3 linked regions of the Oryctolagus cuniculus genome follow. The protein of the gene in region 2 purifies or fractionates together with the protein of the main gene of each other region. This does not show direct contact. Links are inferred from orthologs where the notes say so. Each region holds a gene or a part of one and is shown on either strand. Other genes may lie near its edges.

Region 1 (7,045 bases), on a different chromosome or scaffold from region 2:
TGCAGGCCTTTTTTTTTGGACAGGCAGAGTGGACAGTGAGAGAGAAAGACAGATAGAAAGGTCTTCCTTTACCATTGGTTCACCCTCCAATGGCCGCCATGGCTGGCCCACTGCGGCCAGCACACCGCGCTGATCCGATGGCAGAAGCCAGGTACTTCTCCTGGTCTCCCATGGGGTGCAGGGCCCAAGCACTTGGGCCATCCTCCACTGCACTCCCTGGCCACAGCAGAGAGCTGGCCTGGAAGAGGGGCAACCGGGACAGAATCCGGCTCCCCGACCGGGACTAGAACCCGGTGTGCCGGCGCCGCAAGGCGGAGGATTAGCCTAGTGAGCTGCGGCGCCGGCCTGTTGCAGGCCTTTAGGGAGTGAACTAGTAGATGGAAGACCCTTCTCTATCATTCTCTGCCTCTTTCAAATAAGACGAAAATGGAAAAAAAAATGTTTGCCCATTACCGATTTTTTGCATTAATTTTGATTTTTGAAAATGCTGCATTAAAGAATTATCTATCTTGATTACTGAGCTTTTTCAGCAGTCCCTCAATTCTGCACCTAAGGCAAGTCGAGTCCCACTCAGCCTAGTTCTAGTCCTGCAGGCACTGCCCCTTCATGTCAGTTCAACAGGCACCTTCCTGTAATACAGCTCTGCCCTGATCGCTCATTTACTGCCACCTCCTTCTCTCCTCCGCTCCCTCCACCTCCATTTGATCGTCTCTCCCCACAGGATGTATCACTTCCTGATGCACCTACAGTTATTGAACTTGACCACTTATGGACTGTCTCCCTCTCACCTCCAACCCTAAGGTAAACTCTTTGTTCTAGAAGAGTACTTGGCACACGGGAGTTACTCAGGAAATAATTGTTTAAGGAAAAGAATATAGCTGAAGAAAATGAACCTGGACTTCCATCTTCCCAACTTCTAGCCTGCATTAGCTCACTGGAATCTAAAATTTTATTACCACAGTAGTAAAATACCGATGAATCTAAATCTGCATAAAACTGAATGAGACTCTAAGTAGAGTAACAGGGACACAGTGCAGTCCTGATTATTACTTGCTTTGCTGCTAAATTCCATTTTAATGTCTGCAATTTATGCTCACAAGCTGTTTCCACAGTGGATGCTAAGTGGCTCCTTTTCTCTGTTTGCACAGCGTACTGATCCATCCATCCACACCCTGGGCTGAGGGCTACGTTAAAGGAGATCTGTGCAGCCGTTGTGCAGGGTGAGGTGGCTGCCGGAGCCCAGTCTGGCCCAGCCCGAGATCTGTGCAGCCGTTGTGCAGGGTGAGGTGGCTGCCGGAGCCCAGTGTGGCCCAGCTGAGAAGTGCTCTGTCATTCTCAAACAGCCAGCAGAGGCTCGCGACCCTTGTTCCATCATCATCCCCCACACCGGCATTTTTCAGAGAGGTTTTTTTCTCTTTCATCCCTACCACCTATGAAATTTTAAGACAATGGGTATGGTGTGCACCTACCTGTGCTTCATACACGAAGAAACACTTTCTGCTCCTCTTTTCAAGAAAAGAGCATGAAATTAAATGAACCCAAAGTAACATTTCTAGTCGTGGGCACTGTGGGAAGGACTTCACCTGCATCAAGCCGACTAATGCTCATCAGGGCTGAGCAGACGGAGGTGCCCAGGAGCCGAACAAGCCCTCCGAAGCTCAGAAAGCACAGCCTCGGGACAGCACAGACCCCAGACCCCCGAACCCACCCAATGTGGGCTCTCAAGCTTCCCCACGAAGCTGTTAAAACTGCACTCCCGACCTTTAATGAATCAAGAGAGATACACTCTTAACTGCAACACACTAAGATACTAAAATTTATCTAGCTTTTTGGGTAGATAAATGTAAGTATTAATTGCCAAAAGTTCAGAATTTCTAAATTCACTATTCATTGCTGATATAGTTTTTAAAAATATGAAAAACATCATAAAGGATGATAAATAAGAGATGCAAAAGAGGCAATATTGCTTTCTTAAAGAAAAAATCATGTTAAAAAATACTAAACAGTAGAGCAGTCTTACCACTATAAAAAGGCCACCATTTTGTTCAACTTCAGCAGTTTCCATCAGCAGTTCAATCGCCTTTTTGTTTCCAATTATCCTCACTACTCGGGCTATCAGATCTTTCTTTGGTTCCTGTAACCTGATAAAGAACAAATAAAGCAAAATTAACCTCTTTCTTTGTGTAAAGAGTTGAAGAAATTGATAGTTTACTCCTTAACTATAATGAAAATCCCATTGTAATAACATCTGCCTTTTTTTTTTTTTTAAAGATTTTATTTATTTACTTGAGAGACGTAGCACTTGGGCCATCTTCTGCTGCTTTCCCAGGCCATAGCAGAGAGCCTGATCGGACGAGGAACAGCCGGGACTCGAACCAGTGCCCACATGGGATGCTGGTGCCTCAGGCAGAGGCTTTACCCTATGCCACAGCGCCACAGTCCTGGCCCCTAACTTCTGCTTTTCTAAATATTCAATATTTAACCTTGGAATCACTGGCACCAACCATCGTAATCTTAGGCCACACAGGGACATTATAACCTCAAGGTTATTTGGCCTTGTCACTTGCAGGTGGATTATGGCAGATTTCAAAACAGATAGGCACCGATAGCAAGGTATGAACAGAAACCCAAATGCAAAAGAAGATAAACCCACTCCACTCCTGTCACAACAAACACGTACTGTACTATGCTTTCAAGTACGCCTAACGCTGGCTTTCCCAACCCCAAAGACACCTGGGAGCTCTAAAATGCATGCACCCTTTCCCTCACAGGCTGCCCCGGAACAACAAAGAAGCAGCTGAAACCTACCAAAAACTTTTATGCACCACTCAGATAGTTCTCTCTGCAACGTTATGATGTCAACACTACAGTGTCCACTTAAAACACAGGGAGCCCAAGAAATTCTACTGTCAGAGCCACCACTTCACGAAGGGGAGGGAGAATAACAGCACAGAAGGCTGACCTGCTCGTCAGACCTGGCACCCTTTGGCTCTCAGCAGAAGGTGGCGCGCATCTGTACAAAGGGCACCGGGCTAGGAGCAAAGGGACCAGGGCCTAGCCCCTGGTCCGAAAATACATCTGTAACCTTGGGCATGCCACGTTCCCACTGACGGGGTCTGACTCCTCTTATCTATCAAGTTTGCAAAATCTCACTCCAGCACTCAAATCCCAAACTTCTCAGTACATTAAAACCCATACTAGTGTTGAGGTAGATTTGCCTGGAAAGCCAATACTTGTTTCATAGCTGTATGAAAGAGTGACAGAGACAGAGGGAAACATGGGGGAAGAGGGGAAGAGAAGGATGTTTTCCAACTGCTAGTTCACTCCTTCACCAGCCGGGGTGAGGCCAGGCCAAAGCCAGGAAGCCCACCTGGGCCTCCCGTGTGGGTGACAGGAACCCAGTCACTTGGGTCATCATCTGCCGCCTACCTGGCACATTAGCAGGACACTGGACCACAAGCATGGAGTAGCTGAGATGCAAACCGGGTACTGTAACATGGCATGCAGGTGTCCACTGCGGTGGTTAACTCACTGTGCCTCAACGTCTACCCCTCCTCTTTACATTTTTACTTTTATTTATTTGAAAGGCAGAGGTACACACATACACACACACACACACACACACAGGGGAGGGGAGCTGGGGAGAAAGATTTCATCCACTGATTCTTTCCCCACAAGGGCTGCAAAAACCAGGGCTGGGTCAGGCCGAGGCTGGGAGCTATGAACTCAAGTCAGGTTCCCACACGGGTGGCAGGAACCCATTGACTCGAGACGCCATCTGAAGCCTCCTAGAGAGCAAATCAGCAGGAAGCTCAAAGTGGAGCCAGGACTTGAACCTGCCACTCCAACATGGGTGTGGGTGTTCCAAGTGACATCTTAAGTGCTGTACAAATGCCTGCCCACATACTACTCCTGAGCCGTATCTATTTTCAAATGTGTGACACTGTATATTAGTAAGCTGGAGATAATGGAAAATGAATCAAAATGTGAGCTTCTTAAAAATACATGAATTATAAATTTATCATTCACAAAGCTATTCTACTCCCAAGTATTTACCCAAAAGAAATGAAAACAAAAAAAAATTTTTTTTTGACAGGCAGAGTGGACAGTGAGAGAGAGAGACAGAGAGAAAGGTCTTCCTTTGCCGTTGGTTCACCCTCCAATGGCCACCGTGGCTGGTGTGCTGTGGCCGGCGCACCGCGCTGATCCGATGGCAGGAGCCAGGTACTTCTCCTGGTCTCCCATGGGGTGCAGGGCCCAAGCACCTGGGCCATCCTCCACTGCACTTCCTGGCCACAGCAGAGAGCTGGCCTGGAAGAGGGGCAACCGGGACAGAATCCGGCGCCCCGACCAGGACTAGAACCCGGTGTGCCGGCGCCGCAAGGCAGAGGATTAGCCTAGTGAGCCGCGGCGCCGGCCGAAAATATATGTTCTAATATCTGCATGTGAAGATTCGAAACAGAAGTAGAATATCCATACAGAAGGGAGGAACACACACGCACATACACAAGCAATTAGGGACTGATGTCTGCTACATGACTCAATCTCAGAAACATTACACTCAGTGAAATAAGCCAGGCATGTGACCATAGTCTGTGAAATTTCACATACTATGAAATGCCCAGAAAAGGCACGTTTATATGAGGTATAGATGAGGAGTCACGTAGGAATAAGGACAGGGGTTCACAACTGTGCACGGGCACATGGACACAACGAGTGGCTGGTGTAGTGGCCCAGGAGGTTAAGCCACGCTCAGTACACCTGCACTGGAGTGCCTGGGATTGTGTCCTGCCTCAGCTTCCGATCCAGTTTCCCACTTATGTGCACCCTGGGAAGGAAGCAGACGATGTTTCAAGTGCTTGGATCCATGCTGTCCATATAGGAGACCAGCATGGAGTCCCTGGGTTCTGGCTTTGGCCTGACCCTGTCCTGGCTGTTAAAGATCATTATGGAGTGACCCAGCAATATCTGTCTCTCTCTTTCAAATAAACAAATAAACCCAAAAAGAAAAAAAAAAGTGTTGGTGATGGTTGTACAGCTTGATAAATTTGCTGAAAAAGCCCAACACTTGAGATGAGTGAATAGTATACGTAAAATAATCCTCAAGAGCTAGTTTACAAAGTCACAAGTGCTTGAAAACTCTAGAGAGAGACATAATTTAAAAAGATGCCCTGGGGGCAGGCACTTCGTGTGCGCGTGCACATGCTGCTTGGGATGTGTGCATCCCGTATCAGCGCGCGCATTCAGGCCTTGGCTCTGCATCTGATCCAGCTTCTTGTGACCGTGCACCATGGCAGACAGAAGGCACCATGTCGCAAACCTGGACGGAGTGCTAGGCTCCTGGCTTTGGCCTGCTCCAGAAAATAACAACAAGTCAATACACAGAATTCAAAAAAAGTGCCATATAAGAGCTTTATGGCACAAAATGCAAAGAGTTACTTAAAGTTTTAGAAGTCTGCAAGATTATCCTCTCAGTCTTGTTCAAATTTAAAACACAAATGTACTGACATAACCAAATAATCACAGAGTTCTTTAAGCAAAATAACCAAGTAATTAAAATTCAAGGCAACATTGCTAATGCGTTTGCCATCATGAATGCACACTGAGTTTCCAACAACAGAACAGAGCTGGGTCGAGCGTGCATTGGTAGGCCCGAGTTAGCTGCTCACCTGTAAGCGATTTCATCGGCCACCTTCTCCTGAGAATCCTCCTCCGTGATCTCGTACCGGCCTTTGTAGTTCATCTCCAGCCTGGCTCCCACTCTGTCTCTGACGGGCCGCTTCCGCTTGAGATGCCCTTGCCCGTTTTCCTCGTCCTTCGACCCCCCCTTTGTGCCACCATGCATGTAGTCGTCTAGCTCCTTGTCTACATCTTTTGCGTGCTCCTGAGATTCCCTCCTGAGTTTCTTAGCCAGCAGGTAATTGTAGGTCTCTGACTGCCTGCTTCTGTCAATCGTGCCCTCCATTCCCAAGATGCCCAGTTCAGTGGCCACGGCGTCCTGGTTCTGCTCCTGCAGCACGGCGCCCCAGATGTTGTTAACCTTCTTTCCTCCGGCGGCGGGGGGCTTCTGACTACTCTGGTCAAACTGGAAGGGCTCTGGCTTGGGAGGCAGGCTCAAACACTTCTGTCGCTTGCGCTTCCAAAGAGAGCTCTCATCATCTGAATCAGAAAAGCTCTCTTCACTTGAATCCACACTTTTAACAGTCCGGTAATGTGACGCGGGTGCACCCGCTGCTGTGGGACTCTGCAAGCCCCTCGCGGCACTGCCCCCTACTAGAACTTTCTGCAAGCAAGAGGAGACACGGTCAGTTCCACAAAACACATTCCGCCATGTATTCCACCCGCCATGTGCTGCTTAAAAAAATAAAGAGCGAGGGAGAGAGAGACTCAACTGGACTATTCTAGAACAAAATTGTCTTCAAAAACATCTCTGAAACCAATGCTTATGGAATTTGCCAAATATAAAGCTAAAAAACCTGGCATGGGCGTTGTGAAGTGCAATGATTAAGCTGTTATCTTGGACACCTCACATCCCGTATCTGAGTGCCTACTTTGAGTCTTGGCTGCTCCACTTCTGATCCAGGTCCCCGCTAATATACTGGAAGGACAGCAGAAGATGGCCGAAGTCCTCGGGCCCCTCCTACCCATGTGGGTGACCTGGGTGGGATTCTGGGCTCCTGCCATCAGCCTGGCCCCACCCTGGTTATTGGGGGCATTTGAGGAGTGAACCAGTAGATCAAAGATGTGTCTCTCTGCTTTTTAAATAAATAAATGAATCTTGGAAGAAAAAAGGCTACGCATTCTTATTTCTACAGCTAATGCAGCATTTAATTCTAAGGTCTCTTAAGAAATTAGCAGAGCTCTCAGTTCTCACTTTCAGAAGATTTCGTCTTTTCCATTATTGTCAGAATGCCTGGGAATGTCACACGCAATTTGCTACTGGCAGTTAGAACTGTTTTCTTTCTTTCCACAGATACCCGCCTTGCTGTACACACACCAACTTCCTCCATAAGGTTCAATGATTGTTTCCCTTTGGATTAGAAGG
Region 2 (7,502 bases):
GGACATGGGTGCCCAGGGCACGGACCAGGCTTAGGTGGCAAAGATCCTTTAAAATTATCTAAGTACTGCTTTAATACTTTCTTCTTAGGAGAAATTTTAAGAATCTGAAGCAGAACTAAATCGCCTTTACTGTAACCCAGGCTTGTTCATTCCCTGACCCCATTCTCACACCCCCCTCCCCTGGAAAACCACCATTATCATGGAGTTTCTGACTCGGACTTGTAGATCTTTGAGCCCCAAGACAGGGACTACACCCCCTTTCCAGGGTACAGTTCTCCCTGCCCCCTTCACAAGGTGGAGCCTCACTCATCTGGGGTTCCTGCTATTTGCTTCTGTCACTGCAGGCCCAGTCATCACAAACCTAGCCCTTTAAAACGGCACTCAGCTGTCAGTTCCCAGTCCCGTACTGTGGAGTCCAGCCTGGGCACTCTGCTCAAGGTCAAAATCAAGGAATGGGCTGCACTGAGTTCTTGTCTGGAAATTCTGAGGGAAAATGTTTCCATGCTCATTCTTGCTGTTGGCAAAATTATGGTTCCTATTCCCTTGTTCTCAGCTTCCAGAGGTCAGCTACATTCCTTGCCAGTGGCCCCTTCCTTCCTTCAGTCAGCAGTGCCACAGCAAATCTTTCTCAGGCTATGAATCTGATGGCCTCTTCTGCATTCAGCTGAAGACAACGCTGCTTAACGGGATAGGGGGATGAGGGTCAGGAAGAGTTCTTCCATGTCACAGCCAGCACCCCATGGAACATAACCCAATCACAGGACCAAAGTCCATCTGTGCACAGTCCCAGGTTGTGCAATGTGCACACTAGAGGGTGGGAAATCTCAGGTGCCATCCTGGAATACTGCCCACCGCACCCCTGAGCTTGGAACTGGCTCACCTCTGCCTCTCTCTCTGCAGAGGACATCCTGGGCTTACAGGCCACACGGCCCTGGGAGTTTTACCCCAGCAGCTCCTGCCGGACAGTGGTCTTCCCACTGCTGACTTCTGGTTCTACCTTCTGGCTGCTCAGGCTCTGGGAAGAGCTGGGGCTCCGGCCGGGCCGGGTGAGTGGCTATGCACTCCTGGTGGGGCCCCGGCTCCTGCTCACTGCCCTCTCCTTTGCCTTGGATGGGGCCGTGTACCACCTGGCCCCACGGTGGGGGGCAGATCGTTGGAACGCCCTTGTCCTGCTGTCTGGTTCCTACGTCATCCTGGTCTTCTACACAAGGACTTTCTCCAATGCCATCGAGGGACTGCTCTTCACATGCCTGCTGATGCTGGTGCCCCCCAAGGCAGCACGGAGCCACACACTCAAGACGCCTGCTCCAGGTCCTCGGTGGCACAGCTGGCTTCTTGGCAGCATCGTGGCTGCTGGCTTCTTCAATCGGCCCACCTTTCTGGCATTTGCTCTGGTACCCCTCTTCCTCTGGGGCTCTCGGGGAGCCATGAACCCTGGCTTCAAGTCCCTGATCTGGAAGGCCCTGCTGCTGCTCCCAGGGATGGCCCTCACCGCAGTGGTGTTTGTGGCCTCGGACAGCTGGTACTTCTCCAGCCTCTCTAGATCCAGCACCCTGGTGCTTACGCCTGTTAACTTCTTGCACTACAACCTGGATCCCCACAATCTGGCAAGGCATGGCACACACGCGCGGCTCACTCACCTGGCAGTCAACGGTTTCCTGCTCTTTGGGGTACTGCATGCGCAGGCCCTGTGGGCTGCATGGCAACAGCTGCAAGTCTGCCTCCAGGCCTTTGCCCAGGTGGGCCTCTGGAGGAGGCTGGGTGCCCATGGCCTGCTGTCCAGCCCCAGGTCTAGCCTCCTTCTCCTGTACTTCACACCCCTGGCCCTGTTGTCCGCCTTTAGCCATCAGGAGGCTCGGTTCTTGATCCCCCTCCTGGTCCCTGTGGTCCTGCTCTGCAGTCCACGGACACAGCCTGTGCCCTGGAAGGGGGCTCTGGTCCTTTTCAATGCCCTAGGTGCCCTCTTCTTTGGCTGCCTGCATCAGGGGGGCCTGGTGCCCAGCCTGCAGTACCTGGAGCAAGTGGTCCACGCACCTGTGCTCCCGAGCGTGCCCACCCGCTACACACTCCTCTTCACCCACACCTACATGCCCCCCCAACACCTCCTCCACCTCCCAAGCCTGGGCTCTCCCGTGAAGGTGGTAGACATGGGTGGGACTGAGGACTGGGTCCTATGCCAAGCCCTCAACAATCTTACCAGACAACCAGCCTGCCAAGGGGCCGGGGGACCGTGGCTCTGCCGCCTCTTTGTGGTGACCCCTGGCACCACAAGGCGTGCTGTGGAGAAGTGCAGCTTCCCCCTCAAGAATGAGACACTCATATTTCCCCACTTGACCCTGGAGGATCCACCAGCCCTGTCTTCCCTGCTGAGCGGGGCCTGGAGGGACCACCTCAGTCTCCACATCATGGAGCTGGGAGAGAAGCCTGACAACACAGCAGAGCAGCCACTGCCCAGGATTCGGCCATAAAAGGAGCCACCATACCTTCCACATGGGTAGCTGGGCTGGGCTGCTAGTCCACAGGTCTCTTTCAGGATTTCCACCGCTGCCTCTCTAAGGCACAGCTGTTGGGTGTGCGGCCTTCTTGGTGAGCTGGCACTTCTCTCTCGGAGAACAAAGACCTGATGAGTCATGGTCCTGGTGTCAAGGTCTCCAAAGGATCCTGATGTGAATATGGCACCCGCTGTCTGCACCTGCCCTAGTCCTTCGGGCCACCATGATGTTTTAAATACGTAATAGTGCCTGGTTGTGAAGACAGGAACTACTAATGACAGATAGCTCTTTGGCTTCCTAAGTCAATCTGGCCTGTCGGATCCCAGGAGGGCAATGTGGTGACACAGAGAACAGGAGGCTCGGACTCAGGGGCGCCCTCTAGTCCCAGACCTGCCACTCACAGACCGTGTGACCTTGACAAAGCCCCTTTGGCTCAGAACACAGGAGGCCAGAGAATCTCTGCAGAATGTGTCAGCTAATTTTGTCATTCCTGGACTCCACAGCACACGTCCCCTGGCTTAATAGGCATCTCTCCCACAAAGCCCTTTAAGAATGCAAGTGGGAGTGGCAATGCATCTAATGGCACCTTGGTACCTGCTGTCTCTGTGTTCGGTTATTATCCAAACGAGTTATTCTGGAAGTTTTCTCCCCTCTCCTACTCCTGTTCCTAAGCCCTCCGGCCATTGCTGCACCTTGCCCTGCAGGCTCACTCTCGAAGAGGAGGGAGCCCAGGTGTTCTCCCACCTCAGCGATGTCACTCAGGTCCTTCCAACCTGCCCCGTGGGAACACAGTTGGAATCTATGATGCTTGGTCAGTACCGGTTACATTTAAAGGCTTCACGCTTCCTAGACGGAATGATTAATTGTGTAGCCTAAGTAGAGCCCATCAGACACCCAATCAAGAGCCGGAAATGACAGGGCACTTCTGTACACAATTTGCATCCTAATTGTAGGTCCGTTAGCTGGACCAGTGGTTTGTATCCCAGACCCACAAAAGTGAACAGGAATCCCGGTAGTCTTAATGCCTGGTGGTGACGGCGGTGGAGGAAGACAGGCACTGGGGCAGGGTAGATGCTGTGGAGAGTGGTGATTACGGATTTAGGCCCCGGAGTCAAATGCCTGTACTCACATTCCGCTCTGTAAGGCTCTGGGCAACGTAAGAAGTAATATCCACTTCCTCCCACGAACGCGCTGTAAAGAGTTAAGTGTGATAACCCACACTGAGAGCAATTAGCAAGCGCCAGCCCAGAATAAGCACTCACTGTGTGTGCCGGCCTACAGCGCCCAGGCCTCCCAATCCACCTGGTCTGAGAAGCACCACACTCACGCCGGTTAATCAGCTCACGCATTTAATCAGAGGATTTCGGCAGCTGCAGGGCCGTGTTTCCATCCATGATCTTCCCCGCATATCTAGCCCGAGTTCTTGTCCCATTTGTAGAGGGCAGGCTCCCTTTCTGGCTGCGTCCCGGGGCAGCCCCTCAGGCTTCGGGGTCTTTGGCCACACGGAGCTCTGCCCGTCACAGGGCTTCAACGAGGAGGTCCGTTCGGCCTGGGCTCTTCGTAGTGGGACGTCTGCAGGCCGGAAATCTGAGTCAGGGTTTCGAAGCTGTGCCCAGTTCCCGGGATGACTCCTCAGCGCCGAAGCCACTGTACAGTCCCGAAGCGAAAGTAGGCGACCTCGGCCCGGGCTCAAGGGTTTGCGCCTGGACCCCTCTGGCTCCCCGGTGGTGTCCCCGGGCGATCCCGGAGGCCACGGCGTAGTTCCTGTGTGAAGGCGTCTCGGAATCGCGCGGCGCGACGACCCAGCGAGCCGGCGGGCCCCGCCGCGAGGCCCCGCAGACGGCGGGCCGCGTCCTGGCCGCGCAGCTGGGCCTGCAGCAGCGCGAAGGCCGTAAGCTGCGCCGCACGCCGGATGGGCCGAGACTCGGCCAGCCGCTCCACCAGCTGCGGGCTGTGCAGCAACACAGCCAGCAGCCGCCGAAGAACCATCCTCGTGAGAGCGTCCCGGAACCAAGAGCACGCCTCCCTCGTCCCCGGACCGGCGGCGCTGGGCCGCGGACTGTGTCCGCCTCCGCGCCGTCTGATGACGACACTGCCGCGCTCGGATTGGTCTGGAGACTCCCACTGTGCGCCGCGTCCGCGCGTTTCCGTTTCCGCCGCCGCCGCTGCTGCCGCGCCGCCGCCCCAGTCCGGTTGTTCTCGGGAGTCGGCGCGTCGTTGTGCAGCTGTGTGAGCTATGTCGGGAGGCCTTCTGAAGGCGCTGCGCAGTGACTCCTACGTGGAGCTGAGCCAGTACCGGGACCAGCACTTCCGGGTGAGGGAGCCCGGGCCGCGCGACGGGCAGACCCTTGAGCCAGGACGCTGAGAAACGGTTTGCTCTTGCACATTTCTGCTGCCCCGAAACGGGCCATGGGTCCCCGGTGCCTGCTGGGGAGGCAGCGATGTTGGAGGGGACCCCACTCTGTTTCCGAGAGAGAGAGTTTGAGATTCGCTTTCCCGTTGCCTTGCAGCCGCTCCTCGTGCGCGGCCGGCGCAGAGGGCTCGAGCGGCGTCGTCAGCGCTGGCTGCTGTTCCTGCAGGCCGTGCGTCGGGAAAGTGACTTGTGATGAGGGGAGAGACTTTTTCATTGCTGGAGCGTGTGGAGGCGCCTTTCTGACACACATACCGTCCCCCGTCGGTCCCCCCCCCCCCCCGGTCTTAAATAATCGGCCAGTGTTCTTTGACGCTTCGGATCCTTTTTAAAATTTTTTGTTAGTGGCTCTAACTGGTGGGTGGGCGACACAAAATTGAGTCCTGTCTCTAACGTCGGGGAGAGTTCGGAGTGGGGTGGCAGATCGACCACCTAGAGGATGCCCGCGTGTTTAGATGGAAGAATGCTGGATTTCAGAAGGGGGGTTTTAGGCTGTATTACAACATACTTTGGGGAAAGGGGGCAGCTGCAGATACTTAGAGATGGGCTTTCCCGGTGACAGCGGGGATGGCCAGAGGTTGCGGCAGAGCAGCACTCATAACCTAATTACTAGGGAAACTATTGAACACCGTGTCGCAGTGTTTCGTGTTCCGTTAGGCGAGCTGGGGAGTGGGGGAGGCTGTTGCAGGCATTTGGGGAGTGAACCAGACTGCTTCTTTAAAAATCAGTGTATATTATTACATAGTCCAATTGGTTTCCTATTTGAGAAATTGGTTCACTCCCCAAATGCCTGGGAGACAGGAACTCAGTGACTTGAGGCCTCACCCATTGCTTCCAAGGGTGAGTATTAGCAGGAAGCCGGAATCAGAAGCGTAGCTAGGGCTTGAGCCCAGGCAGTCTGACCAGGATGTGGGTGTCCTAACTGCTGTGCCAAACACCAGCCCTCAGTTTTCTTGTGGTGTGAGTTTAGATGGTTTCGCTATTTCTCTAATTACCACTGAATGCGATCACATAAAACTGTTGTTCTAAGTAATGCGCTATAGAGCATTCAGGGACAGCTTATGCAGAGTGATTCTTGGAGTGAAGAGAACTGATCAGCACTACATGTAGAGCAGTGACTGAAGAAGTGAGGGCCACTGGAACAGTGCCCTGTGCGTGCTGGTGTGGATCTACTCATGGCCCTACAAGCTGGAATGCCACTGGTGTGGTTATCTTGGACTCTTAAGCTAGATCAGAGCGGCGGGAGAGTAAGTCAGCTGATGGGCCTCATATTTAATCACATGTATCCTTCCCAGTATGGAGGCTAGAAGGTCCAAAACAGCCATATATGGGTTTCTTTCTTAAAAAAAAAAAAAAAAGATTTATTTGAGAGGGAGAGATAGAGAAAAAGGTCTTCCATCCGCTGGTTCACTTTCCAAATAGTCGCAACAGCTGGAGCACAGCTGATCCTTCCTCCAGGTCTCCCACGGGGGTGCAGGGGCCCAAGCACGCAGGCTGTCTTCTGTAGCTTTCCCAAGCCATTAGCCAAGACCTGGATTGGAAGAGGAGCAGCTGGGATACAAACCAGCGCCCTTATGGGATGCCAGCACTGTAGGTGGAGACAGCCTATTACACCACAATGCCAGCACCCAAGATACTGGTTTCTGTGAAGGCATCATGTCTAGTCCATGATGAGCCATCTTGTCCCCAGGGATTGTCAGGTGTCTTGGTTAAAGCCAATTATATATTCCTGTCTCTGGTTTATCTTCCAAGTCAGGAACCTCACTAAGAAGATCTTTTTAGTCATCATTATCTTTTTTCCTGAACTCTGACCTTGTAAGTCATCTAAGCCATTGTTGCTTTGACAGTTTTATAAGGGAAACTTGATCTTTGAAAATCCATTTTTCTCTACAGAGAGAAGGGCCCTTCCTTATATACTGGGATTTTTCTTTTTTTTAAGATTTATTTATTTACTTGAAGAGTTACAGAGAGGCAGAGAGAGAGAGGTCTTCCATCCGCTGGTTCACTCCCCAGATGGAAGCACAGCTGGAGCTGCACCAATCCAAAGCCAGGAGCTTCATCCAGGTCTCCCACATGGGTGCAGGGGCCCAAGAACTTGAGCCACCTTCTACTGCTTTCCCAGGCCACAGCAGAGAGCTGAATTGGAAGTGAAGCAGCCAGGACTCGAACCAGTACCCATATGGGATGCTGGCACTGCAGGCAGCAGCTTTACCCACTACGCCACAGGACTGGCCCCTATACTGGAATTTAAACTTGGGCCATTAGAGAAAGATCCAATGCTGAGTATATGGAGTGTGAAAGAAAAAGGCACACTGCTTGTCTGGCAGTCTAATGCAGGAATGGAAAGGTGGCATGCACAGTGTCATTATTGTGAGCCTAACCCTCCCCTCCTGGACCTTGCTTAAGTGCTTTACAGAATTTGAATTCCCCCTCTTATTGGCAAGTTTTTGTGGTGGATTGGAATGATAAGGGAATTTTATTTCCAAATCAGAACTAATGTTTTATTGTACTTGGAGATACTATTTAAGCAAGGCTCTCTTTAAGTAAGTTGTATTGTTTAACTCTGTCTCTATTTGAAATTCTAGGGTGACAATGAAGAA
Region 3 (7,843 bases), on a different chromosome or scaffold from region 2:
TCTCTATCCCCACTCTGTAACTCTGAATTTTAAATAAATAAACCTTTTTTAAAAACAAAAGAAATTAAGAGTGTCATTTTCACTATGTACTTCCTAGTTTTAGCTACAAAATCCATTCTCCTTTCCAAATTCCAAATTGCTATCAGTGATAACTACTCCCTTCCCTACTTTCATCCATAAACCTCAGCATAACCTTTATCTCTTTCTCTTCTGGGGAGCAGGAGAAAGATCATCATCAAATTCTCTTTCCAGGTTGTAGCCACCTCCAGTCTCAAGTTTTTGGAAATTCCTTCTTGCAGATCAAATAACAGTACTATTCCTTCACAACTAACTCTAGCTATTACTGCCCTGTCACCCTTTTCCATCTACTAACTCCATTCTGCAATGAATTCCTTCAGATCTTCCTATCAAGAAAAACTTCCAAGCATCTCTTTGCCACAAGGCATTCTCATCCTCTGAACAAACAGGCCATCAGGAAGCCTCAGCTCTTCACACCCTAACCTAATCTTCTTTTCTACCTGGGTCTTTAGCCACTAATTTCTCATGTGCCCCTTTTAAGCTGGGCACATATTTCCTATAAGAATCATCGACTTCATTTGTTCTCTCCAATTTTCCTTCTAAGAAGCCATTCTTGACTAAATGACTATGAAATTATTTTCTTCCACAACTCTCTTTATCCAATCTCCTTGGCATAATGCTACCCTTTCATTCTCTTTAGAAAATAACATATTTATTCCTACATCTAGCATCTTGTGTATCAGATGTTGGCTTGTTTCACCTTTATCTACCCTGTGAAAAGAATAATCAAGGTTCACCTGTTTTTTAACAGCTTGATAATCACAACTACTCAGAGCTGAGGTGTAGTATGTTTCTAATATAATACAGTTTCTAACAGATAGACTCAATTAGACATGCCACATAGTATCAGTTATCCCTCAATCCACAATGAAGGCCCTTGGTCAGATCCGACCCTTAGTCACATCTCTACCACTCCCTCTCCCCCTCTCTCACAGCCTCGCAGTCTACTACATTCTCCATGCTCTTCCATTACTGCTCCCTCAAGTCTGGAATGCCCCTTCTTTTCCCTCCCCCTTCTCCTGAGTCCTCCCCTTCAGGATCAGCTCACTCCCATTCATCTGTAAGGAATTAACCAGAACATCTCTGATGGCTCAGCTCCAAGTTAGGGTCTTCCAATGCATTTTCCAAACACCTGTATCGTAACACACACTGATACAGTGTATTGTAAATATCATTCCCTTTGGACTGCAAACTTCTTGAATCATGTAAGCTAAATCCAAGTCCTCTGAGTACCCAAGACCTAACACTGTTAAATACCCAAGACAGTGAGTGCTCATATCCTGCATGACCTGCACATACAACATAAGCACTAAGCTTCTGCATCTGAAGTACTTTACTCAGTTAAAGTGGGGATAAGACCACATCTAGCTCACAATTTGTGATAGGATTATGAGGTATCATGAAGCTCTCAGTGCAGCATAGTGATTGCCACACTGAATCACTACTTTTTTAAACATGTGGCTGTTTTAGTAAGATGTATTTATTTGAAATGCAGTTACAGAGAGAGGGAGAAACAGAGACAGAGAGACCTTCCACCCACTGGTTCACTCCCTAAATGACCACAAAGGAACTATTTTGGGAGCCAGGAGCCAGGAGCTTCTCCTGGTCTTCCATGTGGGTGCAGGGGCCCAAGCACTTGGGCCATCCTCCACTGCTTTCCCAGATCAATCAGCAGGGAGAGGGAGCTGGATCGGAAGTGGAGCAGTCGGGTCTCAAACTGCACCCATATGGGATGCCGGTGTCCCAGGTGGCAGCTTTACCTGCTATACCACAGTGCTGGCCCCTGAACTACTATTTAAATGTCAGCTATTTCATGTGTCAGTTATCTAATGTTTCTTGAGAAATGTAATGCTGTGACCAGTGTCAGGCTGAATGGCTTGGCAACCATGCTGTCTTTCTCACATCTAGAAGTCACTAGTTACCTTTTGATCATCAGCAAGTACCTGTTGTGTATCTATTATGTGCAGGAGTCTTTAATAGGTATCACTAAGACACCAGAACACAATAATAAGGCAAACAAGAACAGAAATCTGTACCAATGCCGAAGAAAGAATGTTACTAGTTCTTTTGTACGAACAATATGACCATTTTAAACTATATAAATTGTGTTTTGCAATGGAGTAGACTTCAAAGAAATTACTGATGAAAAAAGTTCAGAATTAACTCTTCTCATCAAGTAGACTGATAAGAAAAGGCTGCTCCAAAATTTCTAGTTCCCATTTCTCAAGTTTCATCTTTGCTTAGAAGTATTTCCCACAAGCGAAACGTAACCACGACCAAGACAGAGATAGATGACCTTTACTTGTCTCACTCGAATGGGAATTCCACAGATATTTCCCCAGGTTTTTTCCAATTAGTACTTAATTTATAGCTCCAGATCATGGCCAGAGTTTGTCTCTAAAAAACATAAAGCTGAATGGTTTATTCTCCCCACCACCTTCTCTCTTTGAGACAGAATAAAATATATTCTTCTTAGTCACAATAAAATATATTCTTCTTAGTCACACTGGCCCCTGAGTCAAAATTACAGAACTGCAAATCCTATCCCCTAGTATTAGCAAAGGAGGTAAAATCATCCCCCCCTAACAAATCCAGAGGTCAGGATCCCTGTGAAGTTTGTGCAGAATGCTTCATTGCTTTTAGTAGCTGCAGAGAGACCTCTAGCGCTGCCTCAATACGCCGAGTTTGCAAATACTACCTGCTAATGTCACCGTAATGAGACAATGGCAACATACTGAGTAGCAACGAACTGAATGACCACGATGAAGGTTTAGTTTTGCAGCCACCTGGAAATTCTACCTGCCTGGAACACGAGGTATGCACAAGGACGTACGAACCCACGTATCCAATTTATTTCAGCGAAACATGCCAAACAAATGATCATCCTGTGCATACCCCCATTCCAAGAAAGGCTAAGAAAACAGGTCCTAGGAGCGGAGGTCGGAACCACCTCTTTCCCCAAGCCTCAACACAATAGATGTAAACTATTGTCCACCTTCAGCTCGCTCCAAATGCCAGCAGTAACAGGAGTTATGAGCTGGAAAAGCACAGCACGACCGGTCCAAAGACCAGCAGTGGAATATAAGAAAATGGTCCTGGTGCATCCCTACCCTCCCCCATCCACCACCCTCAAACAAGTCGGTTACCCGGCTGGTCCCCACCCCCCTCTGCGGGCCGCCACCGCCCGCCTGGGCCCGGCTTGCAGGAGGTAGGCGCGGGGACCGGCACTGCCGAGGCTCCATGTGCGGCAGCGCGGGAGGCACCGAGGGGGCTGCGCCGGGCGGGAGAGAGCGAGGGCAGCGGGCGCGAGGCGCGGCCGCCCCCTCGGCGGAGCGGACGGCGGCCCGGGGCGGCAGCATCCCCGTGCGCCCGCGCGGCCCCGGCCCGCGGACCCCGCCTCAGCCCCACATCCCTTCCTCGCCGACACCAGGCCGCGCCCGCGTGACGGGGCCGAAAGCCCTGGCGTTCCCCTGGTCCCTGTGCCGGCAGCTCCCGAGGGCGCTTGCAGCCCGGCCCCGCGTCCCGCGTCCCGCTTCGCCCAGCCCCGGGCCGCGGGGACGGGAGACAGCGGCCAACTCCGACCGACCGCAAGCCGGCGAGAACCAGCGCGGCGCCAGCCCCCCGCCCCTCCCCGCCGCCGGGCCGGCGCGGCCGGGCGGGCAAGCCGGGCGGGCCCGGACCGCGGAAGCACACTCACTTCCACATCGCGGCCCTTGTTCTTGAAGCTCTTGATGCGGTGGTTCTCCAAGCCGGGGTTCTCGGCCATGGCTGCGCGCGGCTCCGGCGGCGGCTACTCCTGCGGCTGCGGCGGCGGCGAGTCTCGGCGCGGGAGGGGGAGTGGGGGAGGGCGGGAGGGGAAGGGAGGGGGAGGGGGAGAAGCGAGCACGTTCCGTGACGCCTCCGAGCGCGAGGTGGCAGCAGCGCCGGGGGAGGCGCGGGCCGTCGGCCGGGCCGGGAGGGGCGGGGCGGGCACGGCGGTAGGGAGCTGCGCGCGCCCGGGGAGGCTGAGGACACGTGACCGGGGGCGGCGGCCGGCCGGGACGCTGGCCGGGTTGGTTCTCGGGATGACCCTGCCCGCCCCAGCAGGGCCTCCCCTCGGGGCAGCAAGTCATGTGCTAGAAATGGAGCCGGACTCAGTGGCTTTTACCCATTCCCGGACTCGGGGCAGCAGGTGGCAACTACAGTTCCCAGCATGCCAGGCTCCAGGCGTAGTAGTTGTACCCGCCCAGAGAGCGAGGTGAATGCCGGGACCCCTGCGCGCGCGGCTCTGAGCGCGGCGCGGCTCCGAGCGCTGGGCGCGAAGCTCCGCCTTCAAGGCCGCCTCTGGGCGGGGCAAAGGGAGGGGCTTCCAGCGAGATGGCACCTTGCGCCCTATCGGGGAAGAGAGGCGGAGCTTCCTGGGAGGTGAGCCGCGCTCCCTGCAGCCTCCGCGTAGAAGAGGGAGAGAAACCGTGCCGGCCTTGCTCCTTTGCTTCTTTGGGGTTTCCCCGAATAGCATCCTCCCTCGTGCGCTCTTCCTTTGCTCTGTTAGATGTTATAAATAGCACCTCTGTTCACCTGATACGTCCACGTTTATGCGTGTAGTGTGTGTGTGTAGGGGTGTGTGCCCCGGACTCCCGCACCGAGGGACCGCGGTTGGCTTTCTCCAGGCAAACAGCGCCTGGCGCTTCGTAGGTACTCCAATTAGCTCTGCGACGCCCGCTTTCTTCAGCATCCTCCAGCGCCCCCTCGGACAGTTCCTGTACTCGGGTGGCCCCGAATCCTCTTGTTCTCGTACCCTCATAATCTCAGCCTTCACAGCGGTCCAGCCCTGGTCCTCAGATGACCCTAGGGTCATCGAAGGAAGTTTTCGAGGAACATATTTTGGGTGGATAACACCATTAGCTGCTTTCTGCAGCAAGTGGGCTTCCTTTTATTATATGGGACATACTTTGGGAATACAAGTATGCAAGTATAATTCAAGTGGATTATAGAAAGTATGTAACGGTTGGTAGAAATACGAGGGTACTTCTGAAACATTGGACAAGGGCAGGAGTTGGGGCTCAGCGGGCTAAGCCTCTGACTAGGAGGCTGGCAACCGAGTCCTGGCTGCTCTGCTTCCTGCTAATATGCCTTGAAGACAGCAGATGATGGTCCAAGTGCTTGGATCCCTACCACCCACATGGGAGACTCTCGTGGAGTTCCTGAAAGGTGGACTTACAGAGGTGGAGAGGCAGAGACAGGGAGAAGAAGCTCTCCCATCCGCTGGTTCACTCCCCAAAATGGCCACAGTGGCCAGGGCTGGGCCAGACTGAAGCCAGGAGTCAGGAGCTTCTTCTAGATTTCTCACGTGGGTGCAGGGGCCCAAGGACTTGGGTCATCTTCTGCTGCTTTCCCAGGTGCATCAGAGCACCAGAGAAAGAGGGAGAGACAGAGATCTTCCATCCGCCGGTTCATTTCCTAGATCGCTGCAATGGCCAGGGTTGGGCCAGGCCAAAGCTAGGAGCTGGGATCTTCAACCAGGTCTCCCACATGGGTGGCAGAGGCCCAAACACTGGGGTCATCTTCCACTGCTTTTCCCAGACCATTAGCAGGAAGCTGCATCAGAAGTGGAGCAGCTGGGACACAAACCACCTCTGATTTTTTTATTTTTCTATTTGCTTGTTTGTTTAAGCTATCACATGCTACCTCCCAGGGTGCATATTACCAGGAAGAATCAGAAGCAGAGCCAGGACTTGAACCTAGGCACTCCAATAATGGATATAGGCTTCCTGTCAGCTTCCACACTCAGCCTCTCCATAGGACAAAAGCCCACCACTCAACTCTGATTCTTTTTTTTTTTTTTTTTTTTTTTTTTTTTTTGACAGGCAGAGTGGACAGTGAGAGAGAGAGAGAGAGAGAAAGGTCTTCCTTTGCCGTTGGTTCACCCTCCAATGACTGCTGGGGCTGGCGCGCTGTGGCCAGCGCACCGTGCTGATCCGAAGCCAGGAGCCAGGTGCTTCTCCTGGTCTCCCATGCAAGTGCAGGGCCCAGGCACTTGGGCCATCCTCCACTGCACTCCCGGGCCACAGCAGAGAGCTGGACTGGAAGAGGGGCAACCAGGACGAATCTGGCGCCCCGACCGGGACTAGATTCCGGGGTGCCGGCGCCGCAGGCGGAGGATTAGCCTAGTGAGCCGCGGCGCCAGCCTAGTCTCAGTGTCTTTTTAAAGAATCTGTTTCTACCTCACAGTCTAAAATAAGTTTTTTATTTTTCACTAATAACTTTAAAGTTATTCTTAAGGAAACAGAGTTTTACGTTTGTTCCTAGATTGAGCTGAAGAGAAATTTCCAGACTGTTGCTCAGTCCCTATTCTGATTTAGCATCTGTCTTCAGTTTATTCTCTTCTACTAGACCTTTCTTCACTCTGGCTGCTGTCCTTTAACGTGTGTCTTTCAAAGCTCAGTTTGGAGTTTTAGACATATGTAATGACCACTTACTGTATCTGAGCACTAGGACGCATTTGTAAGCAAGACAGCCCGGTTCCTGCCTCCATGTGGATTCCTATCTACCAGAAGCAAGTAATCACACACACACACACACAACCCAATGTGATGAGTATTAAGAAAGGAGAAAGAATCTCAAAGCTCACAAAGTCCTTTATAAGCCGCCCATTCCTAAAACAGCTGCTGTTTGGGGGATGCCGGGCAAGATTTTCAGTGGACATCTCTGTGTTACCGGAGAAGCAAGAGTTCTTGTCTTCATGCAAGAAAGAATTCAGGCATGAGACAGAGAGCAGAGGAAAGCAACACAGCAAGGTTTATTAGGGTAGGGACATCCATAAGAACGGATGGGCACCTCTCCAGACAGAACCTGAGAGAGAGTGCCCAGTCGCTCAGACTGGGGGAGAGCGAGGTTACACGGTTGAGTGGAGAGAATACACCTGGGCAGGCCAGGCGGGTGGCTCAGCAGAAAGGCAGAGGGCTGAGTGTGCAGTCTGGTTGAGGCTGGGGTTCTTAAGGGGGTGGGTCTTGCCTTCCCACCTCTTCTCCTCCTGGAATAAAGGACTTTATGAAAAATTCCTTTCTGAGTTTCCCCCTGAAGTTATCAGACAGGGGGAAGGACGGAAGGGGCAGGAGTTTTGAAGTGCAGATACTGGGCTGCACCTGGAAAGTGACTTTGAGATGCAGATGCTGGACCTGGATGTCAGTGCCTTAGGCCTTTGTCACACACACATAAGCTCATTTTTTACTTCCTACCTAACATCTGTATCACATGTCTAAATATTTAACAGTCATAAATATTAACAGTTATAAATGAAGCTCACAAATAGCCACAACAGCCAGAGCTGAGCTGATCCGAAGCCAGGAGCTTCTTGTGGGTCTCCCACAAACTTGGGCTATCTTCTACTGCTTTCCCAAGCCATAGCAGAGAGCTGGATCAGTTTATTTATTTATTTATTTATTTGGACAGGCAGAGTTAGACAGTGAGAGAGAGAGAGAGACAGAGAGAAAGGTCTTCCTTTTCTGTTGGTTCACCCCCCAAGTGGCTGCTAGGGCCAGCACATTGCAGGCAGCGCGCTGCACTGATCTGAAAGCCAGGAGCCAGGTGCTTTCTCCTGGTCTCCCATGCGGGTGCAGGGCCCAAGGACCTGGGCCATCCTCCACTGCACTTCTGGGCCACAGCAGAGAGCTGGCCTGGAAGAGGGGCAACCGGGACAGAATCTGGTGCCCCAACCGGGATTAGAACCTGGTGTGCCGGTGCCGCAGGCGGAGGATTAGCCTAATGAGCCGCGGTGCTGGCTGAG

The links.
Region 1: the proteins of NCBP2 (region 2) and PHAX purify together in Homo sapiens (affinity purification with mass spectrometry; 5 studies listed by BioGRID and IntAct, with this or other methods). This does not show direct contact. The link is inferred for Oryctolagus cuniculus from reciprocal best matches to the Homo sapiens genes NCBP2 and PHAX.
Region 3: the proteins of NCBP2 (region 2) and KPNA3 purify together in Homo sapiens (co-immunoprecipitation; 3 studies listed by BioGRID and IntAct, with this or other methods). This does not show direct contact. The link is inferred for Oryctolagus cuniculus from reciprocal best matches to the Homo sapiens genes NCBP2 and KPNA3.

The regions. Positions count from the first base shown.
Region 1 is NC_091437.1:15,874,275-15,881,319, reverse strand, and holds part of PHAX (phosphorylated adapter RNA export protein), read right to left. Parts: intron 6,284-7,045; coding exon 5,670-6,283; intron 2,142-5,669; coding exon 2,021-2,141; intron 1-2,020. UniProt on the Homo sapiens protein: A phosphoprotein adapter involved in the XPO1-mediated U snRNA export from the nucleus.
Region 2 is NC_091435.1:83,418,282-83,425,783, reverse strand, and holds the start of NCBP2 (nuclear cap-binding protein subunit 2), read left to right. Parts: upstream 1-4,602; 5' UTR 4,603-4,728; coding exon 4,729-4,806; intron 4,807-6,824; exon of another isoform or gene 6,825-7,487; coding exon 7,488-7,502. Other genes in the region: PIGZ (GPI mannosyltransferase 4), read left to right, coding at 901-2,468; protein NCBP2AS2, read right to left, coding at 4,182-4,481. UniProt on the Homo sapiens protein: Component of the cap-binding complex (CBC), which binds co-transcriptionally to the 5' cap of pre-mRNAs and is involved in various processes such as pre-mRNA splicing, translation regulation, nonsense-mediated mRNA decay, RNA-mediated gene silencing (RNAi) by microRNAs (miRNAs) and mRNA export.
Region 3 is NC_091440.1:69,092,797-69,100,639, forward strand, and holds the start of KPNA3 (importin subunit alpha-4), read right to left. Parts: upstream 4,032-7,843; 5' UTR 3,845-4,031; coding exon 3,776-3,844; intron 1-3,775. UniProt on the Homo sapiens protein: Functions in nuclear protein import as an adapter protein for nuclear receptor KPNB1. Binds specifically and directly to substrates containing either a simple or bipartite NLS motif.